Macaca mulatta: one gene and its partner. The protein of the gene in region 1 interacts with the protein of each later gene in a biochemical or structural test. Links are inferred from orthologs where the notes say so. Each region holds a gene or a part of one and is shown on either strand. Other genes may lie near its edges.

Region 1 (5,274 bases):
ATATAATGCCCTAGTATCCTTGCAATGACTCTGTTAGCCAGGAAATTTAGGTATTGATTTATTTTAAAAAACAAAGAACAACAACAAACAAAATAGTCTCCACATAATTAGCAAGATTAAGTGAAAATGAATTCCACAAGAGGTGTGCAATTAACTTAACACTCATGCCACTATCAAAAGAGTTCAGGATTTCAGTGACTGGATTTTTGTGGGGTTGAGAAAACAGAATAATAATAAGTGAACAGCTTTGGGAAGTCATCTAGCATATAGCAGTGGACTTTTTAACACCAATGTTGGAGGGCTGGAAAATTCTTGGCTTGTTGGGCAATCTCCGTGGTTCAAAACCTGGTTAAGAAGAGGAATGCATTTAAAAGATAGATTTGAGTAGTCCAAATATCTTTCCATAGTCTATGCACTAAGGTGTGTGTGCACCCTACTCCTTGGTGAGCCATTAGTCCCTTACCCAGAACCTATTAAGTTTACTTTAGACAGAATTGTGACAAGTGAGGCTATCTGGATTCCCAGTCCGCACTAGACTGGAAGTTACCAATCAGAAGATGAGGAGAATGTTAGTGACAGCTGTGCTAGTAACAGTAAGCAAAACAGATTGTCAGTTAGTGAAGGGGGAGAGAGAGAAATTACAAAAGGCAGAGATAATCATTAAGTCATGGCATCCTACAGTCCTTTGGTGTAGCGACTGATAGCTTTTGGACCTCCTGGGAGAATCCCTAACACCTAGGAAGAATATAGAATAGGAACTGGATATATTTCCTGAATCCACTACAACCTACTACAACAATTACTTTTAATAAAATTGACACTGAATTGTCAAGAAAATGCTAAATGATGTTCAATAAACCGCTTAAGAGAAACATTTGCAATACATTGTAGAAAAATCTTTGTATTATGGTTAAAAATAATTTTCGCAAAAAAAGTTTGACCCCCACTAAGGGGCCAAGCTCCAATTACGCTGGTCATCATTGAAACGGTTTGCTTTGTATCAATTTTGAATAAATGATGCACTAAAAAACAGCAGCCTTTACTAATTTGCCTACAGCAGATTTTGAATTGTGGTATATGCAAATAATATGGTATTATATGAGGTTTAACTTTTTAAAATGGCAACAGATTGCATAGTTCAATCAGTAGGGTGATGTAAAATAATTGTTTTTAAAAGTGCCATTGTCACTAAGGAAAACATCGGTACCATGTGCCCGGCACTGTGCTAGGTGCTGAATTTATTAAGCATTAATTTGAAAAATTGCTTTCACTTTCAAGACTGTGACAGTATTCTAAAACTCTCATTCATATTTTTAAAGGTTAAGTGAAATTTGCAGTACACAATACAGCCATTACATAACAGGCATAGAATACAGTTTCATGACTTGGATAGTTGTTGTTTTTTAAGCGCATTAGCAACTCCATTTTCAAATGCTATCAAATTCTTCAGGATATAAAAACCTACATGTAAGAATGGAGTGCCTCATCGGCTCATTTGTCTTATGTAATAAGTGTTTTAACACAGGCATGCCATTTCAGAATTTCGGGTGAGACTAAGCTATACTTTAGCTTTTTTGTGTCAAGCAAAAACAATTTCAGCAACAACATTGGTTTCCCCTGGTAATTTTTTTCATGGCGAATTACTAAATGCTGGATGCTCAAGTCAAAAAGAAACCTGACATCTGGGGAGGTGTTGAGGGGGTGTTAATAGTTCTAGGGAGATGTTTGGGGAGCGCTGAGGATACGATTTTTAAAACAGCAAATACACGGATAAGGGGAAATTATGGTTTCGTATGACTCTCTCCTCCCTCCACTTTCTCGTTTCACCAGTCTGTAGCCCCCCCAATTTAGAGGCGGGTTCAGCGAGATTAGGCTGCAGGAAACCAAGAGGCTCCACCGCGCTGCCGCCCCGGCCTCGTGATGTAATTGTTATTTCTTATTCGGAGACTGAACCGAGGAGAGCTGCTGAAGAAGTAGCAGCTCTGCTCCTTTTGCCTTGTCTGGTTGGGTCAGATCCTTCCCGGGGATGATGTAGATTGGCTGACAGACTCCGCTGGAGACTTCGCAGTGACAAAGCAGCCGAGGATTAACCCTGCTCCTGGGTCCTACGTCTGTCCAGGGAGCTGAGCGGGGCGCTCCTCAGGTCTCCTTCCTAGTTTTCCTCCCGGAGTCGCTCCACATGAGGGCTGGGTGCCTACTACGTGCTGGGCGTGGGGTCAAAGTGACCCAGAGTTCGCGCCCGCGCCCCCCAAGATTAAAGCAGGACACAGAGATTACAAGGAGATAGAAATTGGGTGGGGGGGTGAAAGGGGGCGCAGGGAGCGCGTGTTGTGGGGTGAAGGGGAGGAGGTAGACTTTTAAGGCGCCAGCACCCAGGCGGGGACCCTGGGGCGTCTGGGGTGCCCCGGTCCCCAGGCTCTGCCCAAACGGGAGCATTCGGCCTGGGTCCCGAGAGCGCTTCCCCGGGTTCCCAGGAGGAGCTGTCCAGGCGCCTGCAGCGGTCGCGGGCGGCTGGACAGAGCTGGGAGCCCGGAGGACGGCCCGGGCGCGCCGAGCAGCCCCTCTCTTGGGGACGCGGTCCTTTCGCTGCCTCCGGGCCCTGCAGCCCCGTCTGAGCCACCCGGAGAGCAGGCGAGGAGGAAATCCACGAACCATAGGGGGCTCCGTAGCTCCCGCGAGCGGCCCGGACCCGCACGGCTTCCTCCTGACCGGCTGACAATGGGAGGGAGGGGGAGAAAAGGGTTAAGAAACTTGGCTGAAGAGCTGAATGGCGTGGGGCGGCGAGGGGAGGGACTGGGCCGCGGCGGACTCGGCGGCGGAGGGAGGAGCGCGGCTGCGGGCGGGCGGGCGGCGAGCGAGGCGCTCAAAGTCAGCCTCGCAGACATTGCAGCAGAGCCCCGAACTCGGGAGGCGGCGGCGGAGGAGGCGGCGGCGAGGCGCAGGGACGATCCGGCCCCACGCCCGCCCGCCACCCGCGCGCGCCCGTCCGCCCGTGGCCTCGCGTCCGCCGCTGCGCCGGGAGCGCCGCTGGTCGGAGGGAAGAGCTCGCCGGGGTGCCGGGCCAGGACGGGGCGGCAGGCGCCTTCGCGGACCGAGCCTGACGGAGCCGGAGGCTGGGAGCCGCGGCGGCCTGGGGTGAGTGACGGCCGCGGCCAGGGCGCCCAGAGTAGCGGCCGCCGGCGCCGCCGGAAACGGCCCCGGAGCGCGGCCCGGGTCGGCGCTGGCTTGGCGGGCAGGGCCGCGGGGGCGTCGGGGCGGCGGGGGCAGCGCGGCCGGCCGCGGGCGCGCACGGGGCGGCGTGGAGGGCGCGTTTCCGGGGAAATCCTGCCTCTGCTGCCTGGTTCGAGTCTCCCCGGGTTCTCGCGGGGGGCCGGGGCGGCGGGCCGGCAAGTTGTGGAGTGGCCCCGGGTCGGCCCGCCCGTCCGTGCCAGTTCTGGGCAAGGGGGCGGCCGTCGCGTGGCCCCTGCGCGGGGTCGGACACTGGAGCTCGGGGGGCCGGGTCGGGGTTGCCCCTCGCTCGCCTGCCCTCTCGGTCGCGAACCTCGGGCACCGCTCGCCGCGCCGCTCTCGATCCTGCTGTCCAGCCGGATCCTGGGCGGCGCCTTTCGCCTGGGTGCCTGCCTGCTCCGTGCTCGCTGGATACCCGGCTGGGAAAGTGAATAGGAAAACGGACAGCTCGCCCGGCCCCCAACGGACCCCAGGCCCGCTCTGCCCGCACTCGCCGTCCCCCCCGGATGGCGTGGCTCACGGACCCGAGGCCTCAGCCATCATTTTACCAGGAGCCAGGGGCCGGCCCCCATTTAGGGTGAGCCCCGTGGAAGTCCGGGAGGCTGCCCTTTCTCCCTTCTGCTGTCCCCACCTTACTACTATTGCATATTGTTTTATGAAGGTTTCCGTGGACGTATTCTGCAGACCCTCACATCCCTTCCAAAGTAGTTTCCCAATTTTAATCAGGAGTTGGTGTTCAGTCTGAAGGAACAAAGGAACCAACTGTGTCTTAGAGGCGGACAGGCTGGGAGTCTGTGACACATGTTGATCTCTGAAGCATTCCAGGAGTTTCTACCTTTTATCACGTCAGTAATTGGCTGCTGAAGGTAGTAAAAGAAGTACGGAATGATAAGCACTTTTGCTTTTTAAAAATATTTTTTAATGGCACATTTTACTTTGGGGAAAGAAGACGTTCTTAGGCACAAGGATTTTTAAAAACTCGGCTGGTGGAACTGAGGTGGAGTTTGTCTCTGGTATTGTAAATGATTACATGTGGGATTGTGAAGGAAATTGTGTCGTTAGAGGAAGAGAAGCCATCTGTAGGTGTCCGTAGTAAAAATGGTTGTCGGATTATAGGTGATGAATGCTCTTTCTGTTTCTTGGGAAAATTTGTGAAGCAAGGGGCTTCGGTAATTCATTCTTTAAAGTTATGAATTGCATTGAATGCTTATTAGTGAATCATAGGTTTAGTAAGTGGGTGGCATTATTCAATGTTTAATCATCAGTTTTCCACCTTTGTGGAAGAGACAGTGAGATAATAGACTTTTTAAACAAATGGTGTTTCATCTGCTTAGCCCCTAAGTGTCGGTTGCCGCCTGGTGTATGTTGAAGTGTTTTCACCTTCGAAGTAAGTGAATTGCTCTGCTTTTGCCCAGCAGTTTGGTAATGTCGATAGGGTTTATTTGGTTCAGGGGAGCGCTGGCTTCATCACCTATAGTAACTTTTTTTCTGCCTGGGCATAGTTCCTAGAGACAAAGAAGGAGAATCAATTAGTGGAACAGCTACTGCCCTGCAGGTTACAGGATTGGTTGCTCTAGTCTGTGTCATACTCTAGTGGAGAAAGACCTCTTTCCAAACTTACCCTGGGAAGTGCCCTAGGAGTGTGAGCAAAATACACATCCAAAAAAAAAAAAAAAAAAAAAAGGACTGTTCGTTGTTGATTTTATTCAAATGAGTTAGGTGAAAAAGGCAGGTTTAATGCCTGTGGGAAGTTAGTTGAAAACCAGGTTTAATGCCTGTTTTACATGCATTTGCAAACTCTGTAGAACTTGGATTTTGCTAATTTTAACAGCCTAAAATGTTGTTAACTTTGCACTAAAGAAATGTGTGAAGAGACTAAAGGCTTTTCTGACTCTTGCGGTTGTAAGTGCAAAACATCATGATAAAAAATAACCTATACCACCACCTAGAGTCTGTTTGTTAGTTTATTGCTCATGAAGTTTGCTTAAATTGACATGCCTGTTATAGTTCTGATACAGTCGAAAATGATTAAGAAGTACTAGCTTT
Region 2 (5,273 bases), on another chromosome or scaffold:
CCCACTGCCTCCTAGTTCTGCCTTTATGGTGCAGAGTGTAAATGTGTCTCATGCATTGGGATTCCCTCCCAGCTCCTTGAGCAGCCCAATCCCAAGGGACTAGTTCCATACAGGGTAGAGTACAGACCCTGAGCACTACACACTGCAGCCTTGCTCCCCAGGCTTCTGGCCAAAACTGATCACTGAGAAGGTGGCATCCACTGGCAGACAGCCACCCTCAGTGCACCTCGTTCTGCTCACTGCACTGACTGCACGCTGCAGCCTCCTGCCCCACACTGCAGCTGTTGCTTGTCTCCTGTGAGCCCAGACTGAACACAGGTTCGCTTACTGCATGGAGGCTTCGCACGCTGCAGCCTCAATTCACCATTACAGCTGCCACTGCACACCACAGGCTCCCTTCACCCATGGCATGCCCTCAACACCACCACTGCACTCTGCACGCTATAGGTTTCATCCCAGTTGCTTTTCTCATCTCCATAGTTCCAGGGACCCCAAGAGAGGTACCCTCCCCTCCACCAAGAATTACAAACTCCAGTACCCCCTGTGAAAGAAGTGGCTTCAACAGCACTGAGGATGCAGGTGGCTGATACTAAGACATGAGCAAGGGCAACCCAACTTGGGTAAGCTGTGGGTCAGAATCCCACACTCACCAAGTGATTCTGCCCAGTATAAACTGGGCGATTAGCCGAGCAGCTCCCCCTAACACACACACACTCGCATACACACACACACCCCTCCCCAAGAGCAGACTGTGTAGCCAGAGCCCCACCCTGAGAGCCGTGGGAAGGCCGTGGCCCCCGCTGGTAAAACTGGGCTAATGACAGCAGGGGAACCGGCGGGGCCAGGGGGGTGCTGGGGTAATTAGGGCTCAGCCTGGCGCTAGGAGATCCTGAGATGAAAGGTGCTCTGGCGTCACTGGGTTGGTTTTATGTCCATGAATGCAGGTGTGTGGTGTGTGTATGTGTGTGCTGGGGGTGGGGCTGGCATGGTGGAGACCTCTCCTTTGGGTTGGGTTAGGGGGTCCATTTGTACGCAGCCCACCGTCTTCCTTAGGTTGACTCTGGTACCATTTGGATTTTCGTGGGAGCAAACATGGGGGGAAATACCATCACCGGGGAGCTAGGAATTGAGGGGGTATGGCAGCTCTTGTCCCCTCCCCAGCGCAGGAGAGGGAGCAGATTGTTGGGGAAATGGCTGGTGACAGAGAATAGAAAGAGCCTATATGGAGAAGGGTGACGTTGGAAAGGGGAGGCAGTGGTTCGGTATTGATGTTAGAAATGAGAGGGGAGGGAGGTAACGGGGAATGAGCCCCCACAAGGATTAAAAACGTAAGATGATTGAAGTTAAAAGGACATCAGGGGTCACCTGCCCAGCCTTCGCACCTGAAGCTTGAGGAAGCTCTGCCCCCGACAGCAGTGGCGATTTGTCAAGGTCACACAGTGAGTTACTGGCGGAGAAGGGACCCGAACACCCAAACAAACTCTACACCTGCAAGCATTTGGTGTTTAGACTTTCTCCCCCATGTATAAGGTGCAGGCGGCTCGTCGATACTTCCTCCTCCACCCCCACGGTGCACACCCGAAAACCCCCCAATTCTCCCGGCAAGCAAAGGCTATTTTTTAATGACATCTTTTCCAAAATATGTCACCAAGTACCCACTCCTGCGGGAGCCGCCCGGGCGGGGGAGGGCGAGTCAGAGCGGGGCGGGGCAGAAGCGGCCGAGGGGCGGCCGGGCCTCTGGCGGGGGTCCCGGGGCGCGGCAGGGGGCGGGGGGCGGGGGCGGGCGGCGGCGAGGCGGCCTGCAGGGAGCAGCCGCGAGCCGGCCGGGCGCGCCGAGCCCGAGCCCCAGCCGGAGCGGGGCGGGGGAGGGAGGAGCCAGAGCGGCCGCCGCCTCTGCCGGAGGAGCCGCGGGGCCGCCACACTCGCCCCCCGCCCCCCCCGCGCTCACTCGCACTCACACCCGGGCGCAGGAGGCGGGCGGCCCGGGCCCCACCGGCCCCCCATGGACGCCCCCAGCACGGGGCGCTGAGACCCCCGCGTCGCTGCCCAGCCCGGTCCAGCGCGCCACGCCGAGGTAAGGAGGAGGGAGCGAGGGCATTAATATGCAAATGCCTTGCGATTGATTATGCAAAGCCGCGGGGCTCCGTGGCCAGCTCCCAGGCGGGCTGGGGGCGCCCAGGGGGTACCCGCTGCCAGCCTCAGCCTTTCCCGGCACCCCAGTGACCCTGTCACGAGCCCGGGAGCGTCAACTGACGCCCTGGGGAAGGGAGGTGTTGTAGGAGGTCGGTGGGCCCCGGGGTTCGCAGGCGGAGATGGCGTCCGAGCCTCCCCCTCGAGGGCCCGCCCGGCCTCTGTCCGGCCAGTCTGCTGCGCATTCCCGGGCCGGGCCCCGTTGCCGGCCGCCGGAGCTCCCCCCGCCCGCCGCGCCGCGGTTTGTTTACGGTGCGCCGGAGGCCTGCCCCCCCCAGCCCCCACCCCTAGCCTCTGAGGCCGAGTGGCCTTTGCAAAGCTGCCTCCAGCTGCGGAGGGCAGTATGAGTGCGGTGGCGGTGGTGGGCTTGCACGGGTCCTGGGAGAGGGAAGTTCCCCCCCTCGCTTCACCCGCCTCCCAGTTGAGCATGGCTGTCTGGTTGCAACACTCCTAATTGCAAAAACGCGGCTGTTGGGGGGAATGTGTGTGTGGAGGGGGTGTACTTGATGGTGCCTAGATGATTAGGAGAGTTGCTGGCTGGGGAGGACAGGGAGAAATGGACCTGTTTGTGTACCCCACCTTGTTTCCCTCCCCTTGCAACGTGTCTCTGGTGCCCCTTCTGCATGTGGGGCCCTCCCTTGTCCAGCGTGAAAGAAAGGCCTGGGGGATGACAGGGGCAATTGAAAGAACCACCGTTCCAGGGGTGGGGGTGGGGGACACAGAAGGAAAGACAGTGAGGTGGGAGCCTGCCCCTCAGTGCTGCCTTTGGCTCCAGGAGGGGGAGGGGATGAAGGGGGCTGTTGTCCAAAATAAGGGGGGGAAGCAAAAGTGACATGCAGACACAGAGATATGTCCACACAGACAGCCACATGCACACCCAGGGACACCCAGGCGGACTCAAGGACAGGAGCTACTGGACACACCCACATGGGGACAAGGGAAGAGGCAGGCTGCTGCTGCACCGTGGAGCTCAGACGGGTGGGATATACCCACGGGAGACCAAGAGCATGGGGACCGACCCATGCACATACCCACCCACACACAGGGTCACACGGAGATGCTGTCACACACTGGGGCAAGGAGGAGTTGCTGTCACCCACACATAAAAAGTCACTGTCACATGCATGCATGCACACAGAGCAGTTGCACACAGCCGCACAATTACAAAAGACCCTGTCACTCACAGGCACACACGTGCTCGCATGAGCCCAGTCACACAGACATCATTGCTTGCCGTGACAGTCGCTATCACTCAGTCAGATGCAAACACAGTTACACATCAACACATGTATACACAACTTAGCAACAAGTATTTTCCTGGACTCTTACTGTGGAACTCTGAGGTTCTGCAGGCAACAAAACCCTTGCTCCCAAGAATATTAAATTTGGCTGTATGAAAAGGTGTTCCTGCGTAATGGTGCAAAGCCTGCATTCCTAATGACATCTTCTTGGTCTCTATCGATTGAGATACCACCCTACTAGACAGTGAGCTCTTAGAGACCTGGGAGAATCACTTAAAGAGCTCTGGATGCCACCCAGAGCCTAGCACAAGGGCTGCTCTGTAAATACTTGTGAGTTGATTGACTGTGGAACCTGCAGACACAGGTGCACTCATTTGCACATGGTCCCCTGAACTAAGGTACAGAACGAGTTCATGAGGCCCAGGTCCCCACAGTTGCAGGTCCACACCAACAGTCGTGTCCACACAACCCCAGATGCACACAACTGGAGCCTGTGCAGCCAAGCACACACTTAGATGCACACAATCACAGACTTTTCCCCTTCAGCTTCCTCCTCCCTTTTTCCTCTAGGCTCAGCCACTGTGCGGGAATGGGCTTTTTTTTTTTTTTTCTTTTTTTTCTTTCTTTCTTTTAGAGGGACAGAGAAACAAGAGCAAAGACAGTGGGTTCAGGGGGGTTCCAGAGGGCCGAGTCATGGGCTCAAAGCAGTATCCAGTGACTTCTAGAAGCTGGGATTCTCTTGACTGCTGGGGGAGGGGAGAGCTGCTCTTCTCCCTACCCTAAAAGCTCTGGGGTGTCTAACTGCCCCTGCTCTGAGTCATTTGCCTGGGCCTTTCCTGGGAACAGTCAGTCACCCCCAGCTGAGTTCCTGCATCCCACCTTGAGTCTGGCCCTTTTTCCCACCTGGACCCTTCTGTCCAAACTTGGAAGCTTTCCTTAAGAGGCCATCGGCTGACGAGTGTCTGTATGAGTGATGTGTATTTTTGACTTGGAATTTCTCTCTAACTCTGTCTCTCTTTCTGTTGTTCTGTCTTGCAGTGTCTGATTCTCCCTCCCTCTCTCCTTTTTCCTCTGCCAGTCTGTAACTCTCTCTCGCCCTGTCGCTACCCCCCGTCTACCCCTGTCCTTGTCTCAGAGCTGGGGACTGGCAGCAATGTTCTTCATACTTTTCCAGTTGTTAATACCCAAGCTCCGCCCCTCGGCCCCCCCTGTGCAGCCTCTGGGGTCAGCTTGAGGTTGGGGTGGGGGGCGGGGGGCTCAGCTGGCTGCTCAGGACTTCCTGCACTTCCTTAGTGCTGCAGCTGTGGCCAGCAAGTTTTAGGGGCTGGGAACGGGGGAAGAGAGGGGGGGTCAGCCACTGCCCATGCTGACCCCTCGGGCCTGCATGTCTGGAGACACCAGTTCTGTGGGCACCCTCAGGGTGCAGGCTGCAGCCAGCTAGCAGCTCTTAAGCAAGCCCCCCACACTGGCCCAAGCTGGAAAAGAACCGCCCCCATGGGCAGTGGGGGAGCTGGCAGGACCCTGCTGAGTTGGGTCCACTGCAGGGCTCACAATGGCCTTTCTCCACACCCCTGGCAGCTGAGGCCCACCTCAGAGATGCCCAACAGCTGTGTCCTCTTTGCCCAGCCTCAGGGCCTGGTTCTGAGGGCACAGCTGCCCAGACTAAGTGTGTGCTAAGCGAGGCCCACCCATGAGTGCAGGTTCCAGCCTAGAAGGGGTACCTCTTCCGGAAAGGGAATTTGAGGAGGGGGGACTGGGGTAGGAGACACAGAGCCCAGGGGCACCAAGCACTTCTCACCATGCCCCCCTCTAGCCTTGGCCTATTTGGAGGTGGAGGCACCC

What was found.
Region 2: the proteins of NRIP1 (region 1) and THRA form a complex in vitro, tested with the Homo sapiens proteins (4 studies listed by BioGRID). The link is inferred for Macaca mulatta from reciprocal best matches to the Homo sapiens genes NRIP1 and THRA.

What each region holds. Positions count from the first base shown.
Region 1 is NC_133408.1:32,665,781-32,671,054, forward strand, and holds the start of NRIP1 (nuclear receptor-interacting protein 1), read left to right. Parts: upstream 1-1,931; 5' UTR 1,932-2,143; intron 2,144-2,879; exon of another isoform or gene 2,880-3,135; intron 3,136-5,274. UniProt on the Homo sapiens protein: Modulates transcriptional activation by steroid receptors such as NR3C1, NR3C2 and ESR1. Also modulates transcriptional repression by nuclear hormone receptors.
Region 2 is NC_133421.1:64,420,171-64,425,443, forward strand, and holds the start of THRA (thyroid hormone receptor alpha), read left to right. Parts: upstream 1-1,946; 5' UTR 1,947-2,074; intron 2,075-5,273.